Linked DNA regions of Neodiprion lecontei. Each later gene encodes a partner of the first gene's protein in a complex. Links are inferred from orthologs where the notes say so. Each region holds a gene or a part of one and is shown on either strand. Other genes may lie near its edges. The genes, in order: DNA replication complex GINS protein PSF3 and DNA replication licensing factor Mcm7.

Evidence for each region.
Region 2: DNA replication complex GINS protein PSF3 (region 1) and DNA replication licensing factor Mcm7 share a complex: the UniProt entries of both Homo sapiens proteins name them as parts of the CMG helicase complex. The link is inferred for Neodiprion lecontei from reciprocal best matches to the Homo sapiens genes GINS3 and MCM7.

The regions. Positions count from the first base shown.
Region 1 is NC_060260.1:39,846,476-39,858,495, forward strand, and holds DNA replication complex GINS protein PSF3, read right to left. Parts: upstream 7,413-12,020; 5' UTR 7,326-7,412; coding exon 7,220-7,325; intron 6,844-7,219; coding exon 6,699-6,843; intron 6,604-6,698; coding exon 6,474-6,603; intron 5,868-6,473; coding exon 5,634-5,867; 3' UTR 3,091-5,633; downstream 1-3,090. Other genes in the region: hepatocyte nuclear factor 4-gamma, read left to right, coding at 374-526, 1,172-1,680. UniProt on the Homo sapiens protein: Required for correct functioning of the GINS complex, a complex that plays an essential role in the initiation of DNA replication, and progression of DNA replication forks.
Region 2 is NC_060261.1:14,198,814-14,209,374, forward strand, and holds the start of DNA replication licensing factor Mcm7, read left to right. Parts: upstream 1-4,048; 5' UTR 4,049-4,334; coding exon 4,335-4,374; intron 4,375-4,840; exon of another isoform or gene 4,841-4,861; intron 4,862-6,370; coding exon 6,371-6,579; intron 6,580-6,983; coding exon 6,984-7,147; intron 7,148-8,406; coding exon 8,407-8,587; intron 8,588-8,882; coding exon 8,883-9,020; intron 9,021-9,098; coding exon 9,099-9,281; intron 9,282-9,582; coding exon 9,583-9,796; intron 9,797-10,561. Other genes in the region: regulator of G-protein signaling 7, read left to right, coding at 146-238, 314-379. UniProt on the Homo sapiens protein: Acts as a component of the MCM2-7 complex (MCM complex) which is the replicative helicase essential for 'once per cell cycle' DNA replication initiation and elongation in eukaryotic cells.

The DNA.
Region 1 (12,020 bases):
TGTTGAAAAGAGATGATTTTTCTCTAATTACCCTGAACTAACACACGCTTCAATTTATACCAAATCAATTCGGGTTCTTATTGTATTGCATAATTTCGTCGAACATTAGGGATAGTTTATTCGTATATTCATATATCATTATGCACGGCAATGGGGTGTAGCTAGTTCGACTGAGTCCGGCGTAATTGTTCTCTGTGTTTATATTATACACCTAGAGTTGCATGGTCGTGGAATATGGTTCTGCTGGATAATGGATATGCCTGTACATTTACCTGTCGCAATGCATCGGTGGTAACAGGAAGGCACTTGATTGAAAATATGATTGCCGGGCTCAGTCTAGATTTTAAGAAGAACGGTATAACCGTTGTGTCAGTAATCTTGTTGTCCACAGAGGGACGCAGCCAGGACCTCGACATAAGCAGAGTCGGGACTAGGATTATGGAAGAGCTTGTCAAGCCTCTACACAACGTGCAAATCGACGACACGGAATTCGCTTGTCTCAAAGCCATAGTGTTCTTTGATCCGAGTGAGTATCCAATCTTAAAAATAATAATGTAAATCGACTAAGGAAGCAAGCCTCGTTTTACACTACGACATCATCTTCACCCGAGTAACGTATCGTTTCAAACCTCGGGAAATGACGATAGTTTTCGCAACTTTGGACTGGAACAGTTTTTGTGATAAGAGTTCACGCCCACGCTTAACGCACTTCATGCGCGAGCCAAAACGGCCCCCGCTCCGCCAAAAAATGTCAAATTTTCAAATGGCGATATCTCAGCAACCAAGGCATATTCGATCAAAAATCAAAAACGGCGTTAATTCGGAGGTCTTGAACTTTCACCACGGGAAACGGGAACCCGATCCGCGACATCGGAGGTCCCTAATTCCCTTGTCAGTGCAGCCAATTGAAAACGCCGTTAGTGCAACTTACTTGACGCGAGAGAGTTTGGCGTCTTCCCGTTTCGAGTATGTTGGCTGCCCTGTCTAGCGTAAGGAAAACATTGCCGCGGTACGATATCGCCGACCAATAGAGTTGAATTACCTCGCGCATGCGCAGTCGAGGACCGACTGTGCCGTACGTTTGACACATCCTTAAACGTCATCAAAATTCATTCCCCCGTTGTATAAACGATTCACTAAAATAACAGAGTGTAAAACGACTTTTCCACAGACGCAAAAGGGCTTAGCGAGCCGGCCAGAATCAAGCATCTCCGTTACCAGATCCAGATAAACCTCGAGGATTACATAAGCGACCGTCAGTACGACAGCCGAGGTCGTTTCGGCGAGATCCTCCTGACGTTACCGGCCCTCCAGTCGATCTCGTGGCAAATGATCGAGCAGATACAATTCGTCAGGCTGTTCGGAGTCGCGCACATCGACAGTCTCCTCCAGGAGATGCTGCTCGGCGGCGCCACGGCCGAAAACAACGGCTCGGCGTCTCTGCCGATACCGAACGCGCCCGGAAGCTACGTCAGCAGCAACGAGAGTCCGAGCAGTCCGCTGACCCCTGCTCATCCCGGTCCCCTGAGTCCCCAGGACCACATGCTAGCCGCCGGAAGTCCGCCTGACATGATGCTCAGGGACCTCACGTCGATGAGTAACGAGGAACACACAACAGCCGCCGGTTTCAGGATGTTCAAACAGGAGCCAAGCCTCGAGGCCGAACCGCCGGGTTTTTGACTAGACGATGAACTTCCGTCCATTTATCCGGAAGAGATGGCCTGCTGAAAATCCTCCTCCTCCTCCTCCTCCTCCTCCTCATATTCGTTCCTGCAAGCTCATTATTATGTGTAGTGCACGATCGACCTTAAATTTCGATGCAAGGTGTAATTATCCGAAATCGACAAAGACGCGACAGTGAGGACTAATCGTATTTGGGGTATCGGGCCGGGAATTAGAAATTACAGAAACGGACGAGAAAATTTTGTGCATGATGATTCTTTGAGTGATATCCAGTCGGAACACAATGATATGATGTTGATCGATCGGTAATAAAAGAGGAATCAATCACGGATTGTTTAAAAATTGAAATTTTGAAACGACAAAGACAATTTGAATTCGGTATACGATTACCGAGAAAAAATTTACTTCGCCATTTTTTCCTGCCAATCTCTGAATTGCGTATAATACGATAAGCTGCGTTTTAGACGATAAGTGTTCAGTGTGAGGAACTGAGCAACGATGACGTATATATAGTCGGAAGGATGACTGATTATATAGAAAATATCCAAAACACTGCGAGTTTTTGATACCGCGTATATATTTATACACCATTGTGAACGATATAGCCATAGATGATCAGTGCCTTGATAATTGCTCAATATATAATTTCTATATCAAAGTAATGATATACGGAAAACTATTGTATACAAGAAACAAATCGTTGATAGATTTGAAAGAAAAACAAACAAAAAACAATGTGGCATTATTTATATACCTACGATAAACAAAATACCTAAGCGTGTATATTCGTAAGTATACACGCGTAGCATTAATTGAAATTTATTAATGCAGGTAAAACTTGTGATAAGATATAATAAACATCTAAACATATACATAATAAATAATTGAAAAAATTGAAAAACTTATACGTGCGATCTTACGATTAATTACCATTATGAAATAATTCCGGAGTAGGAATTTTGAGTGGTAGAAAACGAAAAAAAAAAAAAAATATACATCAGACACTCAAATTTGAGTAACTTTACACGTAAATTGCATAGTATAATAAACTCAATTACTCGAGTGGGAGAAACAGAAATCGCGTGAATTAAGTGAAGTACTTGTCCGAATAACAAGAACAAAAATGAACAAAGGGACGGTAGACTAATAATCGAATATGTAATGACGAAAGCTCGTAAGCAATGCAACTGTAATGACAATAGTTTAAGGGTATAAATTAACGATTAAGTTTGTAAACTTGCAAGTGCCAATTTACGCATGTTTACTAAGTATACGCGTATAATAGAGAAAAATTTATTCCTTACAAAATAACACTTTGCTCAAAAGCGATATTTTTTACTTTTCGCGACCTTTGGTGACGTAGCAAAAGTATTAGATTCGGTCGCAAATCACTTTTTTCAAATTCAACGAATCTTTACGTTTTCGAACCTCTAGAATTCGAAAAACAGTATAAAGAAAATGTCGGTCTGTCCGGCAAACTCTCGCGACGATACGGGAAACGACTGGATGAAAAAATTTGAAACTTACAGAATTTTTTACAATCAAATGGTGGGCATGAAAAATTGCTACAAAGAAAAGATGCAACAGAAAGGAAGGGAAACTAAAACGATCGAAGGGTTAGAATGAGTTTCTTTTTTCGTTTACCGATTTACAAATTTTATCTGTATTATCCACAACCTTTTTTTCTAAATACAAGTTTCGCTTTTTCATTTTTCGCTTCCGGTTTGTCGCTAAAAATTGTCTCGAATAAAAAAATTTTACTACCACTTTACCTTGGGTGAATAGAACTGTAACTTTATAACTGACGAGAAGGTTTATATAATAATATATTTTATATAAAACTTAGATATATTAAAGATTTTACAATAAAATATTATAGAAGTTTAGGACGTATGGAATGGGAAAAAAAAAATTATATACATTCCGAAATCAATAATAGGAAAAAACTTCTTGTAAATATCGTTGTCGTTAGGTATTAAATTCTGTGTATAGTATACACATTATTTTGTACAATCGTAAAATGAAAAACGCGTCAATTTACTAAAGACGACGTAATTTATGCGCAGTACGCGTTATTTTTTTTTATTTTTATTTTTTTTTTTTATTTTACTTACGAGTAACGTGAGCCATTGCAATGCAATTTGTTATAGTAACACCGTAAATATTGGTGTATGTTATATATAGACAGGGAGATTCAGTCTACAGTAATTTTGAAATTGAAATATTATTATTGCCCCAAGATCATAATTATTGCAATTAATAATTACAGGGCTGGTAGTATTCAAGTCGTTTCAAGAAAGTGAAAAAAACCGACTGTCAGACATAAAAAAAGCAAATAAATAGTGACCGATCATAATTAAATATAGCAATTAAGCGAAAAGTGTCGCCACAGTCTTATTCATTTCATCAGAAATAGCCCTATTTTCATTTATGTCACTGAATACGGGTTTTCATTGTTCGTGACATCTTTTTCCGCATTAAAAAAAATGCATCACTGTACACGATATTGAGTGAATGAGTTACAAGTGAACGATAACTCTGATTTACGAATTTATTGTCCTTTCGGGCAAAACATTTCGATAAAGAAAGAATGATCAATGTTATCATAGTTGATTTTCCAAAATAAAACTGAAGCTAATTTTTCTCCTGAAAATACTATAACGCTTAAAAAAAAAAAACAACAGAATCTTGTCCATAGCGGATATCACGTAAGAAAAAAATTGTGCAACAAAATTTTTTCTGCACGAAACTCAATATTACGAACGAGAAAATGACCTGAAAGATCATTTCTTGGAAAAAATAACAAAAAGTGACTCCGTGAAAAAAAAAAGTGTACAATAGTGAGAAAAGTGACCGACTACCAGCCCTGTACTTGTTATTTCCTATTACAACTGTTAGCATTAATATTATTGCTGTCATTGTTATAATAATAATAATTATTATTATTGTTAGCGTTATTCAAAATCTGAAGAAAGAGAGAAAATAATTTCAATGAGAATTCAGAGAGTTTATTACAATTTGATGTGGAAACTCGACCGAACCCAAAGCAATAGTAAAATATTATATTTTTTTTTTTTTTACTCCACAATGAGGTTTACGCATAAAAAATAAAACTTTCCTATATTTTTAACAAGCTAGAAATAAAAAATTTTTCAGAAATGAACAAACTAAAAAAAAGTCACATTGCACACGCCCGAATAGAAGATATAGCGTATCTTTCGCTTTCAATTAATATTGTTTACATTTCATTCTTTCGTTCTCTGTACAAACAAACAACTTATGTGAACTCACATTCTCGTTGTTGTTGATTTTTTTAAAAATTATATCTCTTCGACCGTTATGAAATGCGAATAGAATTGCTTACAAGAATCGTTCCGAGTTTTTGTTTGTTCATTAAATCAATGAATAATTAGTGATTATTTTCTTTCCATTCTAACCTTACGTAGTCAATGGGTTGTGAGATAAATGATGAACCTGTTGTTTGTTGCGTGATTAATGTTATTATTATTATTATTATTATTACTATTATTATTACAATTATTACTGTCATTATGATTTTTCTAACGTTAGCAGTTGTATCATCTGACTGATTTCGTTGGAGAATATCACGGAAGAGAATATTTACATTTGTTACCTAGTAATAGCGATAATTATTCAAACCTATCTATTTCACTTGTTCAAATAAAGGGTTATAATTGTACAATTCTAAAACAGCAAGAGTGTACCTCTAATTATTCATGCATATAAAAACAAATTTTGACCCCGTCATCCTCACCCCGAGTATTCAAGAAACGATTCAATTTTATACAAGGAGTTATCTAAAGTCCAGCTTTAATTTGATCATCGATTCAGTTTTCAGGAGAGTTTCATCGATTCGAGTAGCTTGCAAGACAGTACTGTCGGCAAAGCAGAGTAATAAATGCGTAAGAGTATCTAAGAATTGCCCAAAATCACGTATTCTCATCCTCTAGCTCCGCTCGTTTTCGTTTCTTATGATTAGCTACCATCTCCGATGTCTCAATACTACCGCCGCCTTCCTTCAACCAAGAAATCAAGAGACACCTAGACTTTCTACCTGTTAAAAACAACTTTCTCTCCAGAATAGGAAGCTGCAATCCTACCGTCGGATCTGTTCCTGTATTATGAGCCCAGTCCATTACTAGTCTGAACCGCGATTTGAACGCCTGAAAAGCAACGATCGCCGTAGAAATAATGAAAGAAAACAAATACAAAATTTAACAAAACGTCACTATCTTAGAGAATCAATTCGAGACAAAAGAAATGAAGGAAAAAACATCACATGTCCACCATTTTTCGGCGAATATCTATGTGCATTTCAGTCACAGGAGTTATACCACTCACAATACTTGACTCGAGGAATTACCAACGCCTAAAAATCTTTGTGAAATTGTTGCGAACTTTATAGATTATAAGTGCACTTTTTCAATGCAAATTTGTAAGCATCTCTGCATATTTTTATCAGGATTGCAGGAAAAAACTTCATTCGTGAGAAAACGCATGAACACTAGTGAATAATATTCAGAACTCAACTTTACGCACGACAGTAGGATGTAAAATTTTCCGCGACAAATGAGGTCAAGATTAAAATTTAGTGAGCATTTCTACCCAGGGAGCAGGTGTTTCTCTTCGCAGTTGAGTAATTATTCAAAAAATGTAAATAATTCTACCTTCTTATCCAGAGATTTTCGGTGAACTTTTCTCTCAGATTTGTCTGTGTAATCTCTACGCATTTTTATGAGAGATATAATTAAGATGTTCAAAAGAATTACCTGCAATAGTAGATCCTGAATAAGGTTGCAATCGCTATGCTCGTATTGAGCGAGGTGAATTCCGAATTCATAGAAATAGCAACTCCACTTGTTTAGAGCCACCGCGCATGCGTCTGCAGTTAGAATTTCACTATGGTGTAACAGAATTGAATATGTCAGTTGTTACATGTACTGATAGCTGCTCACGAACTCTTTCAAATAATTCCAACACATTCATATAATTACCGGTATGCCTCCTTGTATATTTTAGGAACTTCTATACTGACGAATGGATGCGTTCTAGAATTCATGGGGTACGCAAGCCAGTGAGGGAGGTCCAATTTTGTTCCTGATTGCAGATCTGGCGACTCCGAAGACACGTCCAGGTAGCCTGTGTTCAAATTACTAAGTAAATGAAATGTATGAAATCTAGATTGCTACATTCCTTCATCACTACACACATAACATTGAGATTAATAAATACAAAAAACAGTGTTTCAGACTATAATTCGAAATAAACGTCACTGAAAGACCGGTTTCAATTTCGTTCGCAGGTTATGTCATGACAGAGTAACGAAATTTGTAGAAATTAATCATAGAACATGGTGGTAAAGAGAATACGAAACTGAATGAAACCCACATCCAAGTCATCAGCATCAATTCGACATCAGAATATCAATGTAACGGATAGAATCATCGAGGTCATTGCAGCGTTTCGTCTTGATGTGATGCGTTAGGTTAGGTTAGGTTTTCGTTGATAAACTCACCGAGACCTGGCAGTTTGACTTCGATCTTGCATGACACGCGTTCTTGACTGGAAAGAATATCATCGATCGAGAAGTAATTTGGCATGTAACTATGACACAACGACATTTTGCACAATGTTCCTCGCTGTTCCGGCGCGTACGTTACTGTACGTTACCGCATTCCGACTTAACGTCAGGCGCTACTGGACGGAACCTTGGAGTATATAGACATAGTGGAAGCATCGACGTTGAAAAAGTATCCCCGAGCCAGTGAGAGAAAGGGACGTCGTAATACAACATGCGCTCTCTTTCTACGGCAGAAGCGCATCGTTGTAGTATTACTAATTCCCTCACTATACCGTTTTCTACTCACAAGAAAGGGGACACCAGGCTTCGTCCACGTCTATATGCTCTTAAGACAAAACGAGTGAATTAGTTCTCAGCACTGTCAACAATCTTTTAACAGAAATCAGTTATCTATTTTGCGCTGCGGAGTTCGTGAGTAGCTTCGCCTCTATCCTAAGGAGTTTTTATAGCTGCCAGCTAATTTCCGAACGCACCGTAAGCAGTAAGTGAAGTGAGTAGCGCACCAATACCCTAGTCTCCATGCACTCACAGGTTTACTTACTACCACCATTCGATCGAGCAGTGTCGCCAATATTCGAAATGACAAACAGCGTTATCATCAACCACTTTACATCGAATTCATATTCCGCGCGAATATTCAAACATTCTGACGGCAAAAATTCTCAATAGATATTTGCGAACGTTGTCTAAAAAATACAAAGACGGATACCGCTGGCAAATTTTCTTGAGCACTTTTCGATGTGTATTTTCCAACAGGAACTGCGTATCGCGGTCAGTAATGGATAAAACTTCCATGTCCCTGGAATAGTTTACTATTTGTGTAAAATAATTTAATTTGATATAATTATATCTACAATAATTATTCCACAGATAATTATTTTACACAAAAATATCAAAATTTCAGTTAACACACGCAGGTCCATAAAGGTTTTTACATTCTTTAGTCAACATATTGATGGATCTATCACATGCGTGATCTTTATGTGCTAATCGTAAGCCAATCTTGTCAAAGCTGTTCATTTTACGCTTTTTGTTAATAAATTTCCAAAATACCAATGGGAAGTTTTTCTTCCATTAAATTCATTTATAAAAAAAAAACGGGGAATATAAGATGGGTCGACAAACGAAATGAGGATATGTAATTACGATCTATAAATTATGCATAATTTAGCGATATTTTTAATATTAGTTTATTTCGACATTTTAAGATGTATGGACAATTATTACATAATAATTATATATATAATGAGACATATTTTACTTTATGTCGGTTGGTTTGCGTGTATATAATTATGTATTCCAATTATATGTATCGTGTGTCTCTCCTCGTTACATTTTCTTTTTAGACATTTCGAATCTTACACAACACCCTTTCATAAAATTATAATTATACATATATATATATTTATATATTTATATAGTCATTAAACTATGATAATGAATTATGAAATATGTGTTCAGGGTAGGTTGTTAATCGCAAATTAATAATAATTATTCATTTTTTTTCTTCTTTCTCTTCGTCTTCTTCTTCTTCGTCGTGTTATCGTTATCAATATTATAATCAGTATATTAATGATTAACCATATTATGTATAATTACGATGTAACACTATAATTAAATTTTGTTGTGAATTTTTTTTTTTTTTTTTTCATTTTTTCCATCTTTTTTTCTGTATTTACTTTTATTTACTGTATTATCATTAATATTATTATCATTATTATTATTATTATCATTATCATTATTATCATTATTAATATTATTATATATTTCATCCGAAATAAGTGAAAGTACGTTATACAATTAATCCTGCACGCATATTATATATAATAATATAGTATATATATATATATATATATATATTATATGTATGTTCGCAACTCGACAATATTATTCCGCATAAGTTTTTCTTTTTTGTTTCATTCATTTAATTATTCATTTTGTTTTTAATAATTTTCGTTTTCTTCTTCTTTCTTTTCGTTCTGTTTTTTTTTTTTAAATTTTTTTTCTATTTTTCTGTTTGTGTATCACTCGTTAATTAGAAATACGCAGGAATATTCAATGACATAATTATCGTATTAAAGAGTATCTAAGACATTGCCGATTACCGTATCTCAAAAGATGGTAAAACTTTTCAACCTTCTTTACACCTGCAAGATATTCTCTGGTCAGCATTAATACAGGAATCCACACATACTTGTAGACATGATACCAGAAGAACAGTATTTGTGTGATGTAATTAACTTATTCTTGGTACGTACGGTTCCTATATGTGTGTGTGTGTATAATATATGCATATACATGTGTGCACATAATGTATACATACGAAATGCTAGCCAGAAAATGTCTATATTATATGTATGCTAGTCTAAAACTATCCGTACATTATATTATTATTATTAATATTATTAATATTGTTATTATTGTTATTATTATTTGAAAAAACGGTAGTTTTTGCCCATCGGCTTCAATATACACCGTCTATAACCAATACATAAATACGGTATCAAGATCGATCTTGAATTTTGCCATCTTCTTGTGCACAAGATACAGATTAACGCAGGGGAGGCCAAACTTTCGCACAAGTTACAATTCTAACCTCACGCAAAATACATGCCCGTCTGTCAAGGACTCGAGGATTGCTTTGGATTGTTTTTAATTTTTTTTTAATCCTTTGTCAAAATCAGGGCGCATGGAAACGAAGCAAGACGAAGGCAACCTTGAATCGTGATGCCGGGTATATTTTCACTCTTATAATTACACTCAACCACTTCGCACCTGCAATACTCGGAGCCAAAAGAGCCGCGTCAAGTCTGACCGACCCTGCGGCAATGTCTTATTTCTCTTCTTTTAATAATGATTATTACAAAACCTTCGGTTGTGTCTTTGTCGTATTTCTATTTTTAACAATACTCCTATGTATTTTATTTTTTATTTTTTTTTTCTTGCTACGTAACTCTATGCAATATGTATTAATAAGGAAAACCCTGACCTCGGCAGCTGCACTAGCAGGTCCTTTATTTCTCACGCTACGGTTTTTTTCTTCGTCAACTTGGTTTTTTTTTTTTAATTAAAAAAAAATTTATTTTTTTTCTGGTTTTTTTCAATTAATACAGAGTAACTATAATTATATATAAATATATATATATATGTGTATATATTTATATATATATATATATATATATAGGTATAGGGAAGCGCGGTTGGTAATAACACTTCCTAATTCCCTCGTCTATGCCGATACACGTCATGTATTTTTAAACATGCAAACGGTGTTGCGTATGCATGTATATCGCGTTTCGCGGCGCATTGTTACGAACAATTTACTAACGGCTCGTTGAAAGTTGTAAATAAAAAGAGATGGAGAGGAAAGAAAAAAAACAAAAAAAAAAAAATTATCGGCATTAATAACAATTAACGGTATCGATGTTAAACAGTGAGAAAATTTTATGAATCGTAACGTATTGTGTTGAAACAGAAAGTCTCCTGCATACCAGTGTATTGTTCAGCTATATATGTGACTAGAAACACGTTGTAATATGAAATATAATGTATGACTTAGGTGTACGATAGTAATAAGAAATATTATTATAATCAAATATATTACTTATAATTATACATAATAGTTACAGAGATTTAAAAATCATAGCGTTGATGTAACTTAATTTTACAATAATATGGCAACCGCGATAGTATAAAATAAAAAATAAAAACGAAACAATAATTGAAATAATGATAATATTAACGATAATAAGACTGGGAAATGTAGACTCGAAATATAATATCTTACGTGTATGACATTTGTGAATTTATGCGATGAAAAAATAAAATTGTTTTACACGCGTATTCGTTTTTTTATACGATCGTCGTTTCTCGAGATATTAAAGAAAAAAAAAAAAATACGTGGGAGCCAGACATTGGAGATACGTTTGTGAGAAGAAAAAAATTATTCAGTCCTGACATGTAACAATTAAAAAAAAAAATATATATATATATATATATTTATATACAACCATTTGCGAGAAGAAAAATATTTGTTGGTCACCTAAGGCATGGGCATGAATTGTTCCAAACCCTTGTAATTGTACGGTTTGCACGTTTTGAAAGATACGGTGATAATTTGTCGCATCGCATGAATTGTACTGCATATTTCGTTAACGTTCGTTTAGTGTGACTTTTAATCTTCCGTATATATACCTACGGACTATGCTACACGTGTATTTCGATTATTATCTCTGATAAATAAATTTTCATTTTTCCCCGTATTAATGATAATTGCATTTCGATACGATTTCCATGCCTTTTTTTTTTTTAAATGTCTTTTCCACGGCGATTCTAATTCCGCTTTCCTTCTTTTTTTCTTTTTTTTTTTATGCGAATGTAATATTTGACAACGGGATAAAAATACTTTGGCCGATATTAGTGTTCGTTTTAACGATTCATGATTCTTTTTAACGACTGTTCAACCGTCTCATTCAACAACTGGCTAAGTCTTTAATTTCCTATCGTTATCGGGTTATTCTCGTTTCTCGTTCAAACATGCCTTGTATGCATACAGCGGTGGGATTGGGGGATATAGAATTTCTCTACGTGCAATGAACACTAATTTTTATGCATATAATATGTAATAAATTATGGCAAGGAATGTAGCAATGGCACTATTAATAATATGGTAGGTATGGCGAAGAGACTCGTTGCGGTAAATTGTTTTTTTTTTTTTTTTTTTTACGTATAAGCT
Region 2 (10,561 bases), on another chromosome or scaffold:
AATCCAAATCATGATTTTCTGCCACGTTCAACTTATCAAGTCACTATCAATAATCTGTCTATCCTCAATTTAACATTCTTGTTCCAATAATATTTCCATCAGCTGACGAAAAATATTAACACTCACTGTAACATTTTGTACTCAGGCTCACGTCTATCACCTGATGAAAAGTGATAGTTATTCGAGATATCTACGCTCGGAAATGTACAAAGATTTTCTCAACGGTTCCAAGAAAAAAGTAAGATTTCATTGTTTATATTCATGACTCACTGCCCATGTAGTTCATTGGTGTTACTTTCACCTTCTGTTTCAGACATCAGTAAAAGGTATTCGTTCCATTGTGTCGTTCACCGCTCGCAAGGATGCTACAGGATCTTAACTGATACATGTAATAATTTTTTGTGTAGTGCGATGTTTAAATTTTAAGTCTCCATTGACATTCGAGCTTATAGACTGAAGAACACGACGATGCATAGTAATTTTTTTCGTTTTGCATTACAGATAGGCTTTGAATTTGTTATACTACACCTGCTGGGTTGAAAAATTTGCAGGAGGGTGCTGCTGCAGTGGAATTTCAATGATATTCTTGATAATGCAATTCTGATATTTTCCTTATAGGGTGTCGGGAAAGGGGGGGAGGGGGGGAGGGGGATCATTATTGCCGAATGATGTGATATAATTATAAAACGGTGTTATTGTTATATGAATAAATGAAGTTGATGCCAGGAAGATTGAAATAGAAAGGAATAAGAAAATTACGAACCTGACAGAATATTCACTGATATAGTAATTTCGCCAATATGTACACTCATTCGCGTATCCAGTATACACATAGATTTGTACACACACTGGAGGTCTACACAACATTGAGGAAACCTAGCCCACTGCCGACAATTGCAAATATATATTTTTTGAGGTGTATGAATTCTATGGAAAAATATTTTATTGTGAGTTCAACTGTATTTTAATTAATTATTCATTATCGTTAAGAGGAGTTGGAAACTCGACCAGGACATTTGATAGATCGATTGATGTTCTTACTGTTCACAGAAGAACACAGCTACGTGAATATCGAATTGCAAAAGTCAAATTGTATAAATATATAGAAATGTACAACCCATGAGAAAATCAAATTATGCTCACCAGAGAGAGAAGCTGTTTTTCAAATTTAGAGTGCAAACATTAAGAAACAATCTTTCTAATTTCTAAGCATTTATATATAAATGTGGATGTATATAATTCGACATACAAGAAAAAAAGAAATTTTGATGACTCAACTTAAATACTGCAGCAAAACAAGAAAGACTTTAAGAAACATATAATATTAAACAATGAACTACAAATTTTTTCGCGATATTATTTAACAATAAGTCACAAAGCGCTACGCTGGACAGTGGCTGCGAACAGTCGACTGGAAAAAATATACTGATCACTTTTAATCCTCGGTAATATAGCCGGGTACTTAAAGTTGTTGTGATTATAGTTGCTGACTAGACAAATTGAATGTATGTATGATAGGCTGTAGAGTGTATAAACATTTACGTGTATAATCAAAGAATGCTCATGTGGCCGATACACATTAGAACATTTGTTATATTAAATATAATAAATGAATATAATACTATACAGCTATACACTTATTGTGCAGGAAACCTGCTTGCTTATACGGGCATATTACCAATTTCAAGGTGATACTGTACGTGTATAATTGCTTATCAACAATATTTATAGAAAAACGGCATCCGTATAGAAATATAATGCAATACGCAGGTATCCTGTGCATAACAATTATTATTGTTGATCTAGCTTGTCCATACCTGAGCTTGTTGATAGATATTTATATATACATATACCTAACAGTTGATTACGGTTTCATCCAATGTGGTAATCAACGGTGTATAAGCATCCGTGTGTATATAGTGTTAGTGAATATGGTTGTACAATTCCGTCTTAGAAACGACTAAAAACATTTGTTAGATTATCGTATATACATACGTATACCTGCACACATTAAAAAAGCACATTCCATGGTTATTTTCACATTTTTTGAGTGAAAAACAGCATACTTGTTTCATTATAATATCACGTTTTTGGTTTCAAACATGCCCTAGTATATTGAGCTGAATCAGCTGGATGTCATTTTTCTTACACGTAAACAAATTATGTATATACGATCGTGTCATTTTATTATTAGTCAGCTCAACAACACTTGCACGGAACGTAATGTAATGAACATGATCAATGTATTTTTTTGAACTTAGGGATAGTGTTGTGGAGAACTATTTGAATTTCAACTATGCGGCTATTGCTAAGCATTGCTAGATCAACATATGTGATGATTGTAATAGAATTCGTGAAAAAGTGATTATCCTGAACGGAATATCCTGAAAATATTAATCCTGAACGGAAAATCACTTTTTTTCCTCATGTAAGCGTAGTGTGAAAAGACATATAGGACTAGACGCGAAAGTTTATAAAAAGTATTTGCTGCCTGATTGGTTGCACGTTCTCGAGAGATCAGAGAATATATATATATTTATGAAGTAAAATGCATCCTGTGGTCAGAAGGCCCAAAGTCGACTGAATTATTTATTCAGTGTTCATCAAATCACGCACGTCAGCATATAACTAGTCTATATAATTAATAGCTTGAAGAACACGGTAAACTATATTTACAATTGTATATCAATCTTATTTGTGTCAAAGAAAAAGAAAAAAGAAAATACTGATCAAAGTTAAGGGGATATATCCATTATTGGGCATATGAAAATTCATTCAATTTGCTATTATTCTAGAAGAACAAAGATTGCCTGCATTCAAAGACGTATCTTTGTAGCCAATTGTTGAGTGTTCACTCGTTATTTAATTATTTTCTTCATTTTGATCACAATCACAAACTATAAAGTCAAATTTACTCTCACGCGACTACTGACTATCTACCTTTAAAAATCTTGTATGCATTTCGTATGATTTAATGGCGCTTTCAAATTGTCTACACTAAAATGGATGGATCCCCTTAAGGTAATAAAATACGTAAAGTAGTAATTTTATGATACGTCCTGCACCCGGGATATCGGAATTGAATGTGCGATGCAATATAATACGGGTCGATAATGATTTTATAAATATGATGTCTAAAATGTGTATTTTGAACTTAAGAACTATTGTCTAGTGTAATTAGGAATATAACTTATTTCCATTTTTTCTGAATTATTCCTCGTGAATCTTAAGAGGCAGAATTAGGATATTAATCAATTAGGACAGTTTAAGGATAATAATTATTACTCCAATGATCCTGTTATGCACAAAAATCCGTGACTACTGAATAAGTTAAGATCTAAAACAGTCTCAAAACCTACACAGAAGTATCAATACCTTTAGATATTATCATCCCGTTGCACCCATACTAGGATCATTTATTATATGGAGAAATTTTATCGGAAAGTAATTGTTTTCTTTTTGTTGCATTAAGAATTGAACAACTAATGTATTCACAACTGAGCACTTCAAAAATGGGGGCTAACATTGAACAGTCTGTAGCTACTATTCGCGGGCATGTATCCCGATTAATAAAGCGGTTACAATAAACAATGGTTTGTTTTATCCAGCGATATACATATATACACAAACACAATTATAATTTCATTATATTTATTATAACTAACATCATAAATCGACAAATAGTTTTTTAAATAAAACTTTACTTTTGCTCAAATCTCGTGTATAATTTTTGTATCAACTAGAGGTCCACAAAAAGCGTTGTAATTACTTACCCTGTGCCTAGTTTATTTTTTTGTACCAAAATTTATCACGTGAATGCATTTCTTGCTTCCGTGTTTCAGAAACGGCATTTACTGCAATGAGATGAGATGTCAATTGTAAAAGATAGAATAACACGTAAAATGATTGAAGAAACTATAGAGCTGGTACAGCACGCAAGTAATATGACTGTTATTGTTAAAAAAGTAAATCGAGGACGTTTATGATTTGCAATATGCCAACAAAGTTGAACGTTCAGTAGAATGGCTAATACTTTCTTCTAACACGGTTATTCGATCTTAAGTATGTTACACACATACCATTCACATGCCTTTAGTCAGCATAAAGTTACCTCTAATCAAAACCCGCGCCCAAACTCTGCCAGCGACAGTGGGGCCTCTAGCGCACTTTCACATGCACCTACTTTTTGCGATTGCGCGGCAAATATGGCGGGAAAACTTCGCCGGCGTCAGTTGTTCCCAACGTGCTGCTGTGTTTAGTCGAAGTCCAGTTGTTTCATCACTTTAACTTTGGCGGTTGATTATTGTCGGTGGTAAACCAAGTCAAGAGTAAAAATGCCTACGAAAGTAAATAGAGACTACACAAAAGACAAAGGTGAGCTGCTTAAACCAATTAGTAATTTAACCCTGTAGTTTATTGATCAATTGATAATTCGATAACCTCAAACGTAGTGTTGTTATTTTCCAAGCTGCATTTGAAGCACTCGCAGTTCTGACTATTAGTTAAAATCGATTAGCGAAGAGAGTCAGTCAACGGCATTGTGTTGAGCCGTGCAACAAGGAAACTGAGATAAAAGTTCAAATTTAAAAAACAGTCAAAATTCCCTAAGAAGGCTTACAGGGTTGTCGTATGGGAACAATCTCTCCTCGTTGTTATTCTTGACAGTTGAATCTGTTCAGGGATCTGATGTCTTCGTAAAGTCAATTGCATATTGATTTTAATTACTCAGTTAACTTGTTCGCTGTTGCTTGTTGCACAGTAGAATGACCGCCGGATCTCTCCTTTCCCAGCTGACTTGTTTAATACATATATCAAGTCTCTGACGGTGACACACACTGGCAGCATAATTGATACTATAATGGTTGGTTTACAGTTGGATTGTTCACCGAGTTTTGCAAGTTGGTTCATTTTGGAAGTTCCAACAAATTGTATAATATTCACTAATAGTTTATCACTAACAGTGTAATGATACTGAAGCAATTTCTCAGTCGTTCTGGTTCTTGTGTTTTATTGTGTTGACTAAAAAATCTCAAGAAGAAATTTTATGTGGAATGAATCCAAGCAATTAAACTAGGAAGTCCCCACAAAGTCTTCTTTCAGAATCTTAGATGTTTCAACGATTGTCGATGAAGTTTGTAAGAATTCCAGTTCGTCTCTTTTAAGAACACCTACAGAGAGAGAAGATTTGCTGATTTTGATGAATTTTTATCCAACAAATTCATAATAAAATGTATTAATTTTTTTTGCAACTCACATAGGGCTAAAATACAATTTCTAACAGATATAAGAAAATTCCAATAAAAAAATACTAATTTGTCTTTCCAGATAAATGCTGTTACACTAGATTAACTAGTGTCATACATTCCTAAAGTTAATTATTGTTACCGAAGATCAATTTTGTTGACTTGGAATTTTTTGTCTTTAGTCTGTGAATGATTGAAGACAAAGCTTTGAGCGAAAAACAAACTATTTCGCTGAGAGATTAACTACTGGGTGGCCACTGGTCAGGGAAAACTGGAATGTCAGAGAATTTTTCAATTAGTTGGAGAATTTTGTGTGGCATGGAAAGAAAAAGAATAAAGCTTCCCTCACGAAGAACCTAAATTCTAAGAACAAATTTTTCTCATGTGCTCAGTTCCATGACCATTAAATAAATCATAAACATATTTTTGAATACTGATTGATTGGGAGCTTTATTTATTAGATACTCGAATTGACCCTAATAGTTCAGATTTTAGTCAGGGAAAAATTATAATTTGGTCAGGAAAAGTTTGAGAAAAGTCACAGAATTTTTTTGACTATCTTTGGTAGCTGCCATGAACTATGAATAAAATCACAAATAAATAATAAAACTTGGAAAAATTACATTCACAAAAGAAATTGCAAATAACTTAACCACTCTATAGGTACCTCGTGTGTATCTTGTAGTTTTCAATAGCAATAGATCACGATGATTTAAAAAACCTCTGGCGGTGGGGTATCGAAAACCAAACTCATTGGAACCTCTGCTGTGTGATCTCGGTGTAACTTGTGCACAATAACTGGTGGTATGGTATATATGGTATATATATAATATGGTTTAGAAATAAGCTTGCGTCGTCATCGACATAACTTAAATGGTTTTAATCAAAGTTATTAGATTCAGCCACTCACATTAACTCCCAACTTTAACTGTATAACGGAATTAGAATTGATATTTGTTAAGGTGATGCACAAGGGTCTGAACAGTTTGAAATGCTTCCTTCAGGTAGTATAAACTGAAATTGTGTCATGGACTGAATGCGGCAATAATCCATTATCTCTATTTTGACATTAAGTAATTTTCACCAATACTGAGTGACTCACACCAAGTACCTGATCTTTGTTACAGAACAGCTCAAGCAGTTCTTTGCCGAGTATGCGAAAATGGATGATAAATCAGGCGATAAGACGTTTAAATATCGCACTCAACTCACCAATATTGCTCATAGAGAGCAAGTTGCATTTATCATTGAACTTGACGACGTCGCTGAATTTGATGACGAATTGGCTGAAGCTATACAATATAATACTCGTCGTTATACTACATTAGTATCAGAGGTACAATGAGAGAAGAGTAATCATTGAAAGCATTTCTCTTATTTTTGACAGAAAACTGTTAGTAATTTTCAAAGCTTGTAGCTGCTATTTGTCAAGTCAACTTATAAAATTGAACAGAGCCTTCAGAAAACTAATACCCAATTTCACCTTGGAAGTCCGCACTTTGTTTATACAGAAACAATTTGTGTCATTCTGTGTCAGATGGGATGAAAATTCGTAATATTAATATGCAACAATAGATTTTTCAGAAAAATCTCTATTAAACAGTATAAAATTGTTCAAAATTTAGTAAAACGATATGATGCAAAACATAATCACATTTTTCAAATGCAAACCCTTCAGTTTAATTCCTAAGTTACAAAATGATGTTTTTCAATGTTACGAATTTCAATCTCATCCTTTAGATAGTCCAGGAAATGTTACCCGACTTTAAAGAAAGAGTCGTACCACCTAAAGATTCATTGGATGTTTATATTGAGCATCGTTTGTTGATGGAGCAACGCAACAGACATCCTGGAGATCAGAGGGACCCAAGAAACAATTATCCACCAGAGCTCATGCGACGATTGTGAGTAATGCATTGATCTAACAACTGTAATATCTATAATTTTTCACCACTTAAGTAGGGAAACGGTCATTATATTTGTTGGTGTCTCAAGAATCATAGTTCGTGAAATAATTCTGTTTGTTTTCTGTGTGTTCACAGTTGTATCCTATTTCGATAGGTTTATTTAATACGTAAATTTCTTTAGTATTTTCTTAGTAGCCTGCTTCTTAGTTGAAATTTATTTTGTTCTTGAGTAGAAGTACGTACTACACACTACCAATCGAGTATCACTTATTTGCTCCAAATACAATGACTTCAATTCAACGATTTTGATTTAGTTAGTTTGTCAAAATAATTTAGTCAAGCGAATTCCTTGATTCGACAAAATTCTTTCTTGTCGCGATCGAATGAAATATTGATTCGAGTGAACCTTTTAATGTTTTACCGAAATTGAGTCAACTAAATATCATTTCATTTGAAGTTTACGTATTGTTCCTCCAAGTCACATGTTTGTTGACAAAAACAATTAAGTACTTCAAATAAAATGAGTACATGAATCTAGCCAACAAAAAATTTACATCAATTAATGCTGTACTTTGTTGATCTAACCGGAGCTTGTTTGGTGTAACTAGTTGGATCAGTTGCAATAATTTTTTTACTAGGTAAAACAAACACCACATACTTTAAAATAAGTAGAGAATATATTCATCGTAAACATCAGTATACTAGTACGATAAACAGCCACTAGGTGGTGAACTTTCTCAGTACGGAAGTAGCTTCAGAGATAGTTATAAAACCGGGTAGTTGGCTAAGAAGTTTGATACGGATAATGGAAGAGAAATTTATCATCAGAGGTATTAAAACATTTGAGAGCACAATGTCAAGTTTAGTGTTGACATTCTATGTCGGTTTCGGCAAATACCTTTTTTGACATTCGTACCCTAGAGACAATATTGTGTACTCAATCATTCTCATACATAAAAATATAAGTAATCCAAAGCTACTGGAAATTACGCGTAACATCAATCACAAAGAATGTTTGATGCTGCTGGTAATGATACAGGTTGTCAGGATTAACATCATATCCGATACAAAACACACTTATTTTAAGACAAACGCTGAAAACCCTGTAGGATCAACCCAGAGAAGTTGAATTGAGTCTACGTAATGCCTCCCTGAAAATCAACTAACTTTTACTTTTCCATAAATTTCCTGTACATTTATTACGTTTCCATCGATTGAAATAGAAATCCTATCTGTACATATCCATCTCTTTTCAGCGAAGTTTACTTCAGAGATTTCGGAGCATCTAAAGCTTTACCGGTTAGAGACATAAAAGCTGAGCACATTGGCAAATTAGTCACAGTAAGGGGTATCGTTACCCGATCCACAGAGGTTAAACCGATGATGGTCGTTGCCACTTATACTTGTGATCAATGCGGGGCAGAAACATACCAACCGGTAGGGAAAAATCATGCCGGTTCATTTTGCACAAAAGCCCCATAGGGAGCTATTCGATTTTATTTATCGTCATCTGTGGCGATTAGCAACTAATCCGAACATAGGGTTCATTGTGCATTTTCCGCACATTTAGTAAGTACTGCGAACAGCTACGACTCGCTTTTTATGCTGTAGCTCCCAATGGGGACGTTGCTCGAAATGTTCTGGTACATATAATATCGAATAGATAATTGGACTTACAATTAATGACTTTCTAAAAAGTACAGTTATTATTACTTCGCTACTCAATGTGCAGGTACTTTCGCTAAGCTTCATGCCCTTGCAATTCTGTGGAAGCGACGATTGCCGGGTCAATAAATCTGGAGGAAGGTTATCTTTGCAAACAAGAGGTTCCAAGTTCATTAAGTTTCAGGAGATCAAGATTCAAGAACATGTAAGCTCAAGTAGTCAATAGTGTAGTCAGATAATCTCTGAATAAAAGATAGAATCCTACTTGCATATTATATTGCAGAGTGATCAAGTACCTGTTGGTCATATTCCAAGATCGTTGACGATCTTCTGCCGCGGTGAAATGACAAGGCAATGTCAGCCTGGAGATCATGTAACTATTACTGGAATATTTTTACCTTTACTGAGATCAGGATTCAGGCAAATGATATCTGGACTACTGAGCGAAACTTTCTTAGAGGCACACGTAAGAATATTCTTTCATTTTGTACGAAACTCTGTAATTATTCGTGACAATTACTCTATACTTTATTCTTATACTGGAACAAGAAAATTGTACTCGATGTATAGGTAGAATTACCCTTATCGGATGAGTTCGGAAAATGTTTCGATCTCTATCGCCAAGTCTGATAAACAAAAATCAACTTATATTCATAAGAATACTATAATTGGTTACGAATAAAAAACAACCTTATTCCTCACAGACGACATTTCATGTCAAAGAATTTGGAGATAGTTAAATTTCACTAGCCACTGTTCAATTTCAGAGAGTTATTGGCATCAATCAAATAGATGCCGAGAATGACGCCTCTAACGAATTAACACCCGAAGAATTAGAACTGTTAACTGACGATGGATTTTATGATAAACTGGCGTGTTCTTTGGCGCCAGAAATTTACGGGCATGAGGACATCAAGAAAGCTTTGTTGTTACTTCTTGTTGGTGGTGTTGATAATAAATCCAATGATATGAAAATCAGAGGTATGAAATTTTTTTTTATCAATTCTCATCGCCACAGTAACCTTAACCAATCAGTTCAATAAAATTATCCTCTGTATAAAAAACCCGAAATTTATCGAAACGCGTATTTCCAAGTAAAAACGAGTCAGTTGATTAAATAAAATTCGAAAAGAACCAAGGCTCTACTTGTATTCAATGTAACGTTTACTAAATGGTAATGGTTGTTGAAAGAGAATTTATTATCGTGAATAAGAAGTTTCTTCTCTTCAAGCACTGTGTATAAGGAGGACTATAATGTGTAGATGTTGTGTTTACCCTTTTGAATCCTTGCTTTCGATGAGAAGCCACGTAAGACAAGCAATGCCGTCTAATGAATGATATGCAGATGTGCAAATCATTTTTCTACGAGAAGAATATTGTTGAAAGAAACACAGGAAAACAAATTCGAACTCACTGGTGATGAGAGAAATTAACGACAACAGAGTCAGGGCGGCTAGGTGGTCTAGTGGAGTAAGGCTCCGGTCAAGCATCTCTAGACGCCAGGTTCGATTCCTGGCTCCGTCGTTAATTTTTCGAAATCACCAATTCTTCGAATTTACATTCTTTCAGAATTTATTATCAATGGATATTACCATAATCCAAAACTATAGGCTCCGTGCTAATGAAAAACTGCAATTTTGTGAACCCAATTATAGTTTACGGGCTCACAGTTGGCTATCGAAGTGGCTAGCTATTCCGGCGCTTTATTTCGACTCACCGAGTTTAGCACACTTATATGTATACACT